Linked DNA regions of Xenopus tropicalis. The protein of the gene in region 1 purifies or fractionates together with the protein of each later gene. This does not show direct contact. Links are inferred from orthologs where the notes say so. Each region holds a gene or a part of one and is shown in the gene's direction. Other genes may lie near its edges.

The links.
Region 2: the proteins of srrm2 (region 1) and pnn purify together in Homo sapiens (affinity purification with mass spectrometry; 3 studies listed by BioGRID and IntAct, with this or other methods). This does not show direct contact. The link is inferred for Xenopus tropicalis from reciprocal best matches to the Homo sapiens genes SRRM2 and PNN.

The regions. Positions count from the first base shown.
Region 1 is NC_030685.2:12,494,318-12,500,886, forward strand, and holds part of srrm2 (serine/arginine repetitive matrix protein 2), read left to right. Parts: intron 1-1,054; coding exon 1,055-1,156; intron 1,157-1,446; coding exon 1,447-1,611; intron 1,612-1,713; coding exon 1,714-1,794; intron 1,795-3,424; coding exon 3,425-3,481; intron 3,482-3,561; coding exon 3,562-3,594; intron 3,595-3,740; coding exon 3,741-3,782; intron 3,783-4,130; coding exon 4,131-4,199; intron 4,200-4,401; coding exon 4,402-4,555; intron 4,556-6,569. UniProt on the Homo sapiens protein: Required for pre-mRNA splicing as component of the spliceosome. As a component of the minor spliceosome, involved in the splicing of U12-type introns in pre-mRNAs.
Region 2 is NC_030684.2:104,726,054-104,732,622, reverse strand, and holds part of pnn (pinin), read left to right. Parts: intron 1-306; coding exon 307-379; intron 380-3,172; coding exon 3,173-3,267; intron 3,268-3,389; coding exon 3,390-3,465; intron 3,466-3,592; coding exon 3,593-3,748; intron 3,749-6,569. UniProt on the Homo sapiens protein: Transcriptional activator binding to the E-box 1 core sequence of the E-cadherin promoter gene; the core-binding sequence is 5'CAGGTG-3'. Capable of reversing CTBP1-mediated transcription repression.

The DNA.
Region 1 (6,569 bases):
TATGCACACTAGCTTAGAGTCGCGTAAATTCACTTCAAGGAAAACTATACCCCCAAACAATGTAGGTCTCTATAACAAATATATTGCATATTTATATTGTAAATCCCTGCTTCATCGAAATAAGTCATTTTCATAAAAATATACTTTTATAGTAGTATGTGCCATTGGGTAATCCTAAATAGAAAACTGCCATTTCAAGAATTAAGGGCCGCCCCCTGGGATCATAGGAGTCAAAGTGCACACAGACAAGCCAAGGCACACATACATGCTAGGCCCCATCAGCCAATGAATGGACAGAGTTCTGCCTTCTGCTCCCTCACTACTTCCTGTTACAGTTAGAGCTGCATTATTTCCTGTCAGCTGATCTCTGAGGGAGCACCCAGCCCATCACAAAATGGCGGCTCAAGGGAAAGGATATAAAAGGGCAATATTTACTGATATATATATTCCAGTTTGGGGAGATTCTTTAATAGGTCACTTAACAAAATATAAACTATCTGTTGGTTATGTATACATTCTGGGGGTATAGTTTGCCTTTAAAGGGGCAGTGCACTTTCAGTTAACTTTTAAAATGATGGAGACAGTGATATTCTAAGACCATTTGCATTTGATCTTCATTTTTTGTTTTTTTTTTTCAAGATAGCTTTTTGTTTAGCAGCTCTACCATTTGGGATTTTAGCAGGTTTTGGTTGCTAGCATCCAGTTTAACCTAGCAACCAGGCAGTGGTTTGAATGAAAGGCAAGAAGACTAATAGGCGAGGCCTTGAATCGAAATATAAGTAAACGGTAACAATAACCTTGTAGCTTCATAGAGCAGTAGGATTATTGGCTACTGGGGTCAGTGGCCCCACCATTTGAAAGCTGCAAAAAGGCAGAAGAGGAAGGCAAATAGAAAAAAAAAAAGACCAATGGACAAGTTGCTAAAAATAGGGTATTCTATAACATAAGTTTATTTAAATGTGAGATGCCCCTTTAAAGGAAGCAGCAAATGAAACGTTTCAAGTTGTATAATACCCTATCTTAATTTCTCAATGCTCTTCTGTGTGCGCTCCAGGTACAGCGAAGCTGAGATCCAAGAGAAAGTGGCCACATTCAGACTGATGCTGCAAGAGAAAGATCTGACGCAAAGCAAAGAAGAGGAGAAGCAGAAAGCCAAGTAAGTGGCCAAACTAAGCTTTGTGAGCTGCAAGCCTTTATTGGAGGGTATATCTCATTTATCAAGCCTGGAGTGAAGCCCGAAACGTTGCCTTTGGCACTTGAGTAAAGACTCACATTTTTCAAAACAACCGGAGTGCTGCTGTTTTCTTCATTTTTGTATTTATCTGCCCGTCAGTGGGTACAGCGTGCACCTGGGGCTGCAAGAAGCTATTTTCACTGTGTAAGCACATGTTAACTGATTCTATTTGTTTATTACTCCCCATTTTTACACACTTTCTCTGTGTTTAGTATTTCAGAGACGCATCAAATGGCCGAAGCAAACGAGAAGAAGAATGAGCGGCTACGTGAGGCTTTCGGGATCAGTGACAGCTATGTGGACGGGAGCAGTTTCGACCCCAATCGCAGAGCTGCCAATGCAGCAGCCAAACAGCAGGAGCAGCAGAAGCAGTATAGGTAAGAATTAGCTTTCATGGTATGTGGGGGAATGGCATTCCTCCAGTGCATTTTCCTGTACACTGAGGACTTAATGGGTTAATGAGATTCTTCCTCTTGTAGTCTGATTGAAGATTCTGGCAGTTCTCGCTCCCCTTCTCCCACCAAACACAAGAAAAAGAAGAAAAAGAAAGATCGTGGACGGTAAGTGTGTTGGGGGTTTGAGGGCAGACATGGTTATTTCTCTAGAGGCGGGGCAGTTCTTAGGCTCCTCCTGTGTGTACTTTGCTTTAATTTAGCTCTGCCCCCTTCCCCAATTATTGTTCATCTGTATTAAAGGAGCAGTTCACCTTTAAAGTGGACCTGTCACTCTCACCTGAAAATTCAGCTACTGGTTCAGATAGTGCAGAAAAGCAGCGCTCTCTTTTTTTTTTTTTTTCCTTTTCTGTGTCTTTCCGCAGATATTGCCTATTATCTTTATGCCCTGTCAATCAAAAGTATTCAGCTACGCCTCTATGCCTTAGGCATAGAGGCGTCTCCTTTTATTCTACGTCACCACTCCTTCAATTCTCCCCCTCCCTATAGAGACTATCAGTCTCGCATAGCTTTAATGAGAACGCGCACACGTTATTATGGTAGAGACGCGCCTAACTATTGTGAGCGAGCTCTATCCTGAGATTCTTGGGGGTGCACAGACTCGCAAAGGAGCGTGACAGTTTCTCAATTTGGATGTGAGGAACTATACGCGTCCCTTCATTTACAGCGCATGCGCGATATTAAAGAGCAGGACAGACGTGAAACATAAAGATGGCGGATCAATATGGCGGCTCGCACCCAGCAAAAATGCAGCAGCGGGTTGGGATACAACGGCTTTGCTTACAAAGGTAGCAGAGATCTAGAATAAGTTCTTAAACAATATAGTTTATATTTCTAAAGTTTATTTTGGAATTGTGAAAGGTGACAGGTCCACTTTAAGTTAACTTTGAATATGTTATAGAATGGGCAAATTTCAGCAAACTTATAATTGGTCTTAATTTTTCTTTTATAGTTTTTGAATTCTTTGCCATTTTCTTCGGACTCTTTCCAGATTTCAAATGCTACACAGCAGCGTATTTATATAAACTATAGTAGGGTTTCTGTAGCAAACGCCCCAGCTGTACCAGTGCAGGAACGGCTGCCCCCGGGGCTACACAGCGGGGTATTTATATAAACTATAGTAGGGTTTCTGTAGCAAACACCCCAGCTGTACCAGTGCAGGAATGGCTGCCCCCGGGGCTACACAGCAGGGTATTTATATAAACTATAGTAGGGTTTCTGTAGCAAACACCCCAGCTGTACCGGTGCAGGAATGGCTGCCCCCGGGGCTACACAGCGGGGTATTTATATAAACTATAGTAGGGTTTCTGTAGCAAACACCCCAGCTGTACCAGTGCAGGAATGGCTGCCCCCGGGGCTACACAGCGGGGTATTTATATAAACTATAGTAGGGTTTCTGTAGCAAACACCCCAGCTGTACCAGTGCAGGAATGGCTGCCCCCGGGGCTACACAGCGGGGTATTTATATAAACTATAGTAGGGTTTCTGTAGCAAACACCCCAGCTGTACTAGTGCAGGGCAAAAGTACAACATATTTTAATCACTTTAAAACACTTTATTTGGCATTACTGATCTTTTTATGAGGAAAAAAGATGGACTAGAAATCTGTAGAAGAAACTGAAGACAAACAGGAGTTTTCCTTTGTGATTTCTGCGCCTGAGGCCATCAGCGTATTTGTCAGTTGTTTGCAGTATTCTCTGAGGAGTTGACTGCTCTAATCCCTTCTGCCTTCCCACAGGTCCTCAAGTCGCTCTCCCAGCCACAAGGACAAGAAAGCCAAGTCCCGTAAGCACAGGTAATCCCCATGGGGTCTTCACTCTTCTATTTTTAAAAACACCACCCCCAAAATATTTACTTTTTTTTTTTTTTCTTTAGATCTGACTCCAACTCCAAGAAGCGGAAGCACAGGTGAGGGTTCCGAATTTGTTCTTGTGGGGTTGAGTCGTGCCTTTTATAACATTGTTCAGTTTATAACTGCATGGCAACATGTGTACACTCGCCTAAGTATTTATATCTGGCTCTAAATATCCTCTTTACTGTCTCTTGTGCGGCAGCCCAAAGAGCAAACGTAAAACCAAGGAGAAGAAAAAAAAGAGGTAATGGGCTTAGAACTAACTGACATTACCTTTCATACAATGCATCCCGTAACATAGCTACAGTTTTATTAGCCAGGTTTATTGCCCTGGTATAATCATTTACCTCTAACATCCTAACCGATTAAAGAACGTACAATGTGACACGACTTTTATCTAGTGAAGGAACTTGAGGCTTGACGTCGGTGTATGTGGTATATTGGATGCCATAGGGGCTCTGCTTTCCTACACTGACTGTAAACAGAGCTGCAGTATTGTGAACTCTGACATAGTAGGAGTTGCAGTTGGTGACAATCTAATGTCAGGTATGTCCCCCTTTTTCAAATGCTGGTTTTTTTTCTTATTATTCAGATCTCCTAGTGCCTCCCCAAAGCAGAGAGACGTTTCCTCCTCTTCACGAGATGAAACATCACGCAGCAGGTACTTTTTGAGCGCTACCATTCATGTAGTGAGTAATATAAAAGGCTGCCTCAGTTACACAGGGTTGAAAAAAGACCAGAGTCCATCAAGTTCAACCCTTCCAAGTAAACCCAGCACCCACAACTCACACCTACCAATCGATACCAACACATACATAACTAGTTGCTTTTGTAGTAGCATTGCTGAATATTTTTTCTTCTAGATCGAGAAGCAGCCCACCACCGAGAAGCAAATCCGATCGTGCCAAGCCGTCAAGCGCGGCAAAGGAGAGCCCAGAAAGGAAAAGATCCGTCTCTCCGAAAAGAAATCGGAGAAGCGACAGAGGCCGAAGCCCAGCGGAAAAAGGCTATAAAGATGTGAGTCGTGTTTACATTACTTCCGTGCTTACCTCTATCAACATGTGGGTTTTTGGTGTTGACTTTTAGTATGTTATAGAATGACAAGTTATAAGCAACTTTTTCAATTGGTCTTCATTATTTGTTTTAGCTTTTTGAATTATTTGCCTCCTTCTTCCAACTCTTTGCAGTTTTTGAATGGGGGTCACTGACTCCGGCAGCCAAAACTATTGCTCTGTGAGGCTACCGTTTTTTTTGTCTATTCAGTCCCTCTCTTAAGGTCCCCATACACTTTACGATTTGCTCGCTTGGCGAGATTGCCAAGTGAGCTGATCTTCACCCCATATATCCCCACCTGTAGGCTAATTCGATCTTTTGGCCCTGGGGCGAAACGATCGAATTATATTGGCGTCAATGGCGCAGTCGGTTCGGGGACCGCATCAACGAGCTGATGTGTTCCCCGATCCGACTGAATTTTCTAACCTGGCTCATCAATATCTGGCCAATTTCAGGCCAGATATAGGCTGGGCAGGCCCCTTACTTCTGCCCCTACACGGGCCAATAAGCTGCTGAATCTGCCCGTGTATGGGGACCTTTATTCATATACAAGTCTCTTATTCAAATCACTCCCTGGTTGCTAAGGTAACTTGGACCCTACCAACCAAATAGCTGCTGAAACTCTAAACTGGAGAGCTCCTGAACTGAAAATGAAATAACGAAAAAAAACTAGAAATATTAAAAAAAATGAAGATCAATTGTAAATTGCCTCAGAATATTACTCTTTACATGATACTAAAAGTTTACTCAAAGGGTGAACCAACCACTTTAATGCTTTCCTGCATTACTATGACAGGATGAATGAAAAATAGCTTGTTGGTCATTAAATGTCAAGCAGTTCTACACAAAACTATTTGTAGTTTAAATTTTTACCCATCAACGCCAAAAATGCTGTCTGGGTGCCAAGAGACCTTTGGCTGTGAGCTTGAGATAAGCTGTACGGTTGAGGTGTGCCCTTGCCTTTGTACGGCTGCTGTGTCAGTTGAAGGCAGAGTAACCTTTTCTGGTCAGTTCCCTACAAATGTAAGAGTTTCACAAAGAATCACATTGCAAATCTGTTGGTCATTTATAGCGGTGTTGTTTTGGGCGCTTGTGTTGCTTGCCCATTAAGGGTGTTCAGAAGAATTTAGCCTCAGTATTGGAGAGGGGTGGTGGCCTTCTGCATTTGCTCTGTGTCCCATTTGCAAACTGCCACCCACAATTGACTTGCTGTCAGGCAGTGAATGGAAAATATCAAGATGAAGCCAGAAGTAATATATTAAGTTATTTGGCTTTTCCAAATCTTTTGAACCATGCCTCTGTAGTCTTGGCTATATCTTATCCACAGCATGGTGACAAATCTGTGGATCTCTTTTTCATGAGCTTTATGGGGAAAATACCCAAAAAAGTGGGCATGCATCCAACTAAATCCATGAAATACCCCAATAAATATTTTCTTGGGTGGCTGGAAAACTAAATGTGTGATTGGAAGTTCTTCTGAATCGGATTATTGTTATTTACTTGATGTTTTGGGTATTTTGGACACCTTTTTGATACTGTAATATCCTCTTTGATACTTGGTTAGATTGTCAGGACAACGAGGCACTTAATTTAGCTTCTTACCATGGTCTTTGAAGAATGTATGTAGGAATGAAAACAAATACAGCCAGGTTATTATCTTGACACTGGTGCTTTCAGGCCATTTGAGCCTTCCAAGAAGGCTTCACAAGCAATAAATGTGGCATTTTGGGCTGGTACAGGTGGGATAGGCATATTACTTGTGGCTGTTATTTTCGGTACAGTCTTGAAATTGCATGCATTTTGTTGTCTAGTCTACGGTCCTACAGCACAGTGTGACCTGTTGTTGGTCTGTAATCGAAGTGTAGTTGGGTCAGCAATTTGAGCTGGATGTGGAAACTCGCATTTTTTTTATAAGATGACGTCCGTTTAATAGAGGGCTATTAAATGGACGTCATCTTATAAAAAAAATGAATGACAT
Region 2 (6,569 bases), on another chromosome or scaffold:
TGTCATAATAAAAGTTAAAGGTAAACAACCCCTTTAATAAAAGTGCTGATTTCTGATGGCTTTTGGCTACAGGTACCACTAGTTATCAGGTGCAGTCATTCACCAGTAATGTAAGTTTTTGCGAATTTATGCTCCACTAATTTAAAACATTTCATAAGTGTTACAGTGTAGTATTTGTGTAAGGAAATCAGGCCAAAGTTCAATTAAAAAGAAATAGCGCTCATTTTATTTAAGCAGTAATGCAGTTTAAATAAATGCATATGATTCCTGTGGAATTTTGTAATAGGGGTAATTTTACTTTTCTAGGCTGGGTGGGGAGCGTCGCCAAAGAAGAGAGTCACGCCAGGAAAGCGACGCAGAGGATGAAGATGATAAAAAAGTATGATGTTCTTTTAAAGGAGACATACAGTGGCTTGCAAAAGTATTCGGCACCCTTGAACTTTTCCACATTTTGTCACATTACAGCCACAAACATGAATCAATTTAATTGGAATTCCACGTGAAAGACCAATACAAAGTGGTGTACACGTGAGAAGTGGAACAAAAATCATACATGATTGCAAACATTTTTTACAAATAAATAACTGCAAAGTGGGGTGTGCGTAATTATTCAGCCCCCTTTGGTCTGAGTGCAGTCAGTTGCCCATAGACATTGCCTGATGAGTGCTAATGACTAAATAGAGTGCACCTGTGTGTAATCTAATGTCAGTACAAATACAGCTGCTCTGTGACGGCCTCAGAGGTTGTCTAAGAGAATATTGGGAACAACAACACCATGAAGTCCATCAGAGTTGATGGGAAGATGGATGGAGCCAAATACAGGGCAATCTTGGAAAAAAAACCTCTTGGAGTCTGCAAAAGACTTGAGACTGGGGCGGAGGTTCACCTTCCAGCAGGACAACGACCCTAAACATAAAGCCAGGGCAACAATGGAATGGTTTAAAACAAAACATATCCATGTGTTAGAATGGCCCAGTCAAAGTCCAGATCTAAATCCAATCGAGAATCTGTGGCAAGATCTGAAAACTGCTGTTCACAAACGCTGTCCATCTAATCTGACTGAGCTGGAGATGTTTTCAAAGAAGAATGGGCAAGGATTTCAGTCTCTAGATGTGCAAAGCTGGTAGAGACATACCCTAAAAGACTGGCAGCTGTAATTGCAGCAAAAGGTGCTTCTACAAAGTATTGACTCAGGGGGCTGAATAATTACGCACACCCCACTTTGCAGTTATTTATTTGTAAAAAAATGTTTGGAATCATGTATGATTTTCGTTCCACTTCTCACGTGTACACCACTTTGTATTGGTCTTTCACGTGGAATTCCAATAAAATTGATTCATGTTTGTGGCTGTAATGTGACAAAATGTGGAAAAGTTCAAGGGGGCCGAATACTTTTGCAAGCCACTGTATGTGATACGTGAAAAAACCCTAATTCTGTGGGCAATAATGAATAATTTATGGTGTTGCTTTCACTTTGGGCTAAAAATTATCATTATTATTTATTGGAGCTCTCTATAGATCTGCTCACAGAGATACAGTACCTCACAGACGGTTAATGATCAAATTGAGGAATATTGGCCTAGAACATAATATTTGTAATTGGATAGAGAACTGGCTGAAGGATAGATCACAAAGAGTGGTGATAAATTGAACATTTTCTAATTGGACCAGTGTGGTTAGTGGAGTACCGCAGGGGTCTGTCCTTGGTCCTTTGCTTTTTAACTTGTTTATTAATGACCTGGAGGTGGGCATAGACAGTACTGTTTCTATTTTTGCTGATGACACAAAATTGTGCAAAACTATAAGTTCCATGCAGGATGCTGCCACTTTGCAGAGCGATTTGAAAAAATTGGAAAACTGGGCAGCAAACTGGAAAATGAGGTTCAATGTTGACAAGTGCAAAGTTATGCACTTTGGTAGAAATAATATAAACATGAACTATCTACTGAATGGTAGTTTGTTGGGGGTATCCTTTATGGAGAAGGATCTGGGGGTTTTTGTAGATAACAATTCCAGGCAGTGTCTAATTCCAGGCAGTGTCATTCTGTGACTACTAAAGCAAATAAAGTGCTGTCTTGTATAAAAAAGGGGCATTGACTCAAGGGATGAGAACATAATTTTGCCCCTTTATAGGTCCTTGGTAAGGCCTCACCTTGAGTATGCAGTGCAGTTTTGGGCTACAGTCCTTGAGAAGGATATTTAATGAGCTGGAGAGAGTGCAGAGACTTGCAACTAAACTGGTTAAGGGGATGGAAGATTTAAACTATGAGGTTAGACTGTCGAGGTTGGGGTTGTTTTCTCTGGAAAAGAGGTGCTTGAGAGGGGACATGATTACTCTGTACAATTACATTAGAGGGGATTATAGGCAGATAGGGGGTGGTCTTTTTTCCCATAAAAACAATCAACGTACCAGAGGTCACCCCTTTAGATTAGAGGAACCGAGTTTCCATTTGAAGCAGCGTAGGTGGTTTTTCACGGTGAGGGCAGTGAGGTTGGGGAATGCCCTTCCTATAGATGTGGTAATGGCAGATTCTGTTAATGCCTTTTAAGAGGGCCCTGGATGAGTTCTTGAACAATCAGAATATCCAAGGCTATTGTGATATTAATATCTACAGTTAGTGGTTGTGTATATATAGTTTATGTATGTGAGTGTATAGCTTGGTAGGTGTGGGTTGTGTGTGCTGGGTTTACTTGGATGGGTTGAACTTGATGGACTCTGGTCTTTTTTCAACCCTATGTAACTATGTGTCTGTTTAAAATCAGGGGTGGGTTTGTCCTAATGGTCCCTGACAGACACACAGTGGGTGGGGCATAGCCAATTGCAACCCTGCAGTGACACAAGCAAAGACAGGCTTCAGTTTCTAGGTCAGCCTAGCTTCTGATTGGTTCCTATCCTACAATGAAGTGCTCTGAGGGCTGCCAGCTCCCCTGCACAGTTTGGGAAAGGGGGCAGCGGGAAGAAGAACAGATGGGTGGGATTGGTAGGGGTTTTTTGTGAAATTTTCAGTACATCTGCCTGAAACACTACTCTCAAGTATATTTAGAGAAGTATAATGCGCTGGCACATTCTTGTTTTTTATACAATATATCTCCTTTAATCCAAGAGTGGGGTTGCTTTAATGTTGTCCTACGTGTCAAAGGTACTTACTCCTATTTTGTTTCTAAATTGTAGCCAGCGTTGCAGTCCTCAGTTGTTGCTACCTCCAAAGAACGTACACGCCGAGATCTTATACAAGATCAGAACATGGATGAGAAAGGCAAACAAAGGTAGAAAAAATTTACTTTTGCACCCCCCCCCCCTTTTTTTCTTTTTTGTCAAAACAGTTGACTTAAAATCGAAGTTGGAGGTTTAAGTCTTGCATATAATTTTATTTTCTTCTTAATTACAGGAATCGGCGAATATTTGGCCTGTTGATGGGTACTCTTCAGAAGTTTAAGCAAGAGTCAAATGTGGCAACAGAGCAGGTAATGTATGCTTGGTAATTTGTAATTTTTTGTCTGTGCCAATATAACATGTCATGCAAATATTTGTTTTGCACGTCTTCAGCCAAAGTGACTAATTTACTTACAATTTCTCCTATCCAAACTGCAGCAAAAAAGGCGCCACGAAATAGAACAAAAGCTTGAAGTGCAGGCTGAAGAAGAAAAGAAACAAGTGGAGACTGAGAGACGTGAGCTCTTTGAGGAAAGGCGGACTAAACAGACAGAGCTACGCCTTCTGGAACAGAAGGTTGAGCTTGCCCACTTGGTAAGTTACACACTAACTACATTTTAAAAAATTGGTTTATATGTTGTTCTAATAGTTAGTGGCTGCTTTGAAAAGGGACCATTTCTACTTCTGATTCATTTTAAACTATGTACAAATGTTCATAATAAGCATGCAGCAAATCAGAATAGCAAACTGAATATGAGATCTAATTGTGGACTCCGGGTTAAGCATAGTCAAAAATTGCTTTAATTACCCAGACTTATTGAGATGAATAAAACTGATATGGGTAATCCTGAAATTTTCATTTGTAATTTCAAATTATGTCCAGCTTTCTGGTGCTTAAAGCAAAATCTGAATTATGTATTTGTTTGGAAGTACTCAGTGCACCTGTCCTGATTTAGATGCGCCATGGTGAATTTTGTGTGGGTGAATGCAAAGCGTTCTACTACATTACTGTAATCTATGCACACTTAGATGCAAAAAAAAAAAAAAGAACTTTTATTAGAATACACACAAGTACAAAACACCTTCAAGAAGCTGCAAGATTTGTCTAATAGAAAAATCTCCACTTGTAATATAGGGGTTACAATCAATCTGTAATCTTTGTAAACCATATAGGGCAGATATGAGAGATACTGAATAATCCTAGGCTGTACCCTGGTTCTCTTGGCCTACAGACTGCAGCTGTCAGACAAAATAGCATTCTAATCAAAAGTATTATCATATCTGTATCATGTGATGCGAGTATGATGATGGCACTGTAAAGTGCACACTAGGGGTTTTGTCTATTTATAGGGTTTGTACCAGCAGGACAAATTGCTGCATCTTAATAGTAATGATGAAATCCAATTCTTTATCGGATCTGCAAAGTTTATTTATTTTTGCATTCAATTTCGCCTATCCAAGGGTCTTTTTGGTCTTCCACATGGCTATTTTCTTTTGAGCAGTTGTCTGTGTGATAGACATGGATGCAAGCAGACAGCTTCTCACAAGTAAAGGTTATATCATTCCCCTGTAAAAGTGACAGGCAAGATCAAACTGGCCTAAAAAAAAATGTTTCCGTTCGATTCTCACAGAGCAACTGATGGCCACGGACTGACTAACTTTTGTAGTGTGACGACACACAGAGCTACTAGTACTGTGTTTCCCCGAAAATAAGAACTACCCAAAAAATAAGCCCTAGCAGGATTTCTATGCATTTGTTAAATATAAGCCCTACACCGATAATAAGACCTAGTGATGGGCGTGGCTCCGCGCTATGCATTTCGGCATGAAGCGATAAGGAAGACTGGAATACCTTTTATCTGCCCTAGCTCCTTTCTCCTAGCTGTTCGCACGTGTGGTAACCGCAGACGCAGGCAATCCTATTACACATGCGCAAACGGCTAGGGGAAAGGAGTTCATGCATCACTAGCGCCAGCCCCACCAACAAGGTCTGCTCTCCCTGTCATGTCCAGGCCATACTGTCTCCTTGTGTGTCCCCAGGGGGAAGAAGGAAAGCTGAGGCTGCTATTTTACCCAGCAACAGTCTGTGGGCCTCTCTCACCCCCCCCCCCCCCCCCACTGGCAAATGTGGGTAAATAGCATGGGCAAGAGTAAAAAAAAAAAAAAGAATTTTAAATGAAAGTGTACTGAACAACAGTTTTTATTTGAGGAAACTGAATTGAATTTTTCAGTTTCTAATGTTTAAGACAAACTATTTTTTTAAGGGGGGCAGGATACTCCTTACCTCTTGTATTGGTTATTGGTTCTTATGTATTTATTCTTTTATGTTGAAATAATGTATACATACATTTATCATACAATGTTGTGGAACATTGTCACTTTGTAACATAGTAAGTTAGGTCGAAAAAAAGACATATGTCCATCAAGTTCAAACATAATGCCTATATAAACTGCCTAACTGCTACTTGATCCAGAGGAAGGCAAAAAACCCCATCTGAAGCCTTTTACTTGCCACAGAGGGGAAAAAATTCCTTCCGGACTCCAAGATGGCAATCGGACCAGTCCCTGGATCAACTTGTACTAAAAGCTATAGCCCATAACCCTGTATTCCCTCACTTGCTAATAAGCCATCCAGCCCCTTCTTAAAGCTATATAATGTATCAGCCAGTATGACTGGTTCAGGGAGGGAATTCCACAACTTCACAGCTTAAACGGAACCTCCTTTCTTCTAAATGGAATGAGTGCCCTTGTTTCGGTTGGAAGGACCTACTGGTAAATAAATCATTTGAGATGTTATAATATGATCCCCTTATATATTTATACATAGTTATCATATCACCTCTTAAGCGCATCTTCACCAGTGTAAACAGACCCAACTTGGCCAGTCTTTCTTCATATCTGAGACTTTCCATACCCTTTACCAACTTAGTTGCCTTTCTTTGGACCCTCTCTAATTGAATAATGTCCCGTTTGAGCACTGGAGACCCAAACTGAACAGCATATTCTAGATGGGGCCTTACCAGCGCTCTGTAAAGGGGAAGAATAACCCCCTCCTCCCGTGAATCTATACCCCTTTAATACAGCTCAATACCCTGTTTGCCCTTGCCCCTGCTGCCTGGCATTGCTTGCTACAGCCAAGTTTATTATCTACAAGGACTCCAAGGTCCTTCTCCATTATGGATTTGCCTAGTGCAGTCCCATTAAGGGTATAAGTGGCTGCATATTTTTAAATCCCAGGTGCATGACCTTACATTTATCCACATTAAATCTCATCTGCCACTTAGCTACCCAGATTGGCAGTTTGTCAATATCCTGCTGCAAGGATGTCACATCCTGGATAGAATTGACTGGTCTGCAGAGTTTTGTGTCATCTGCAAACACTGATACATTACTCATAATACCCTCCCCTAAGTCA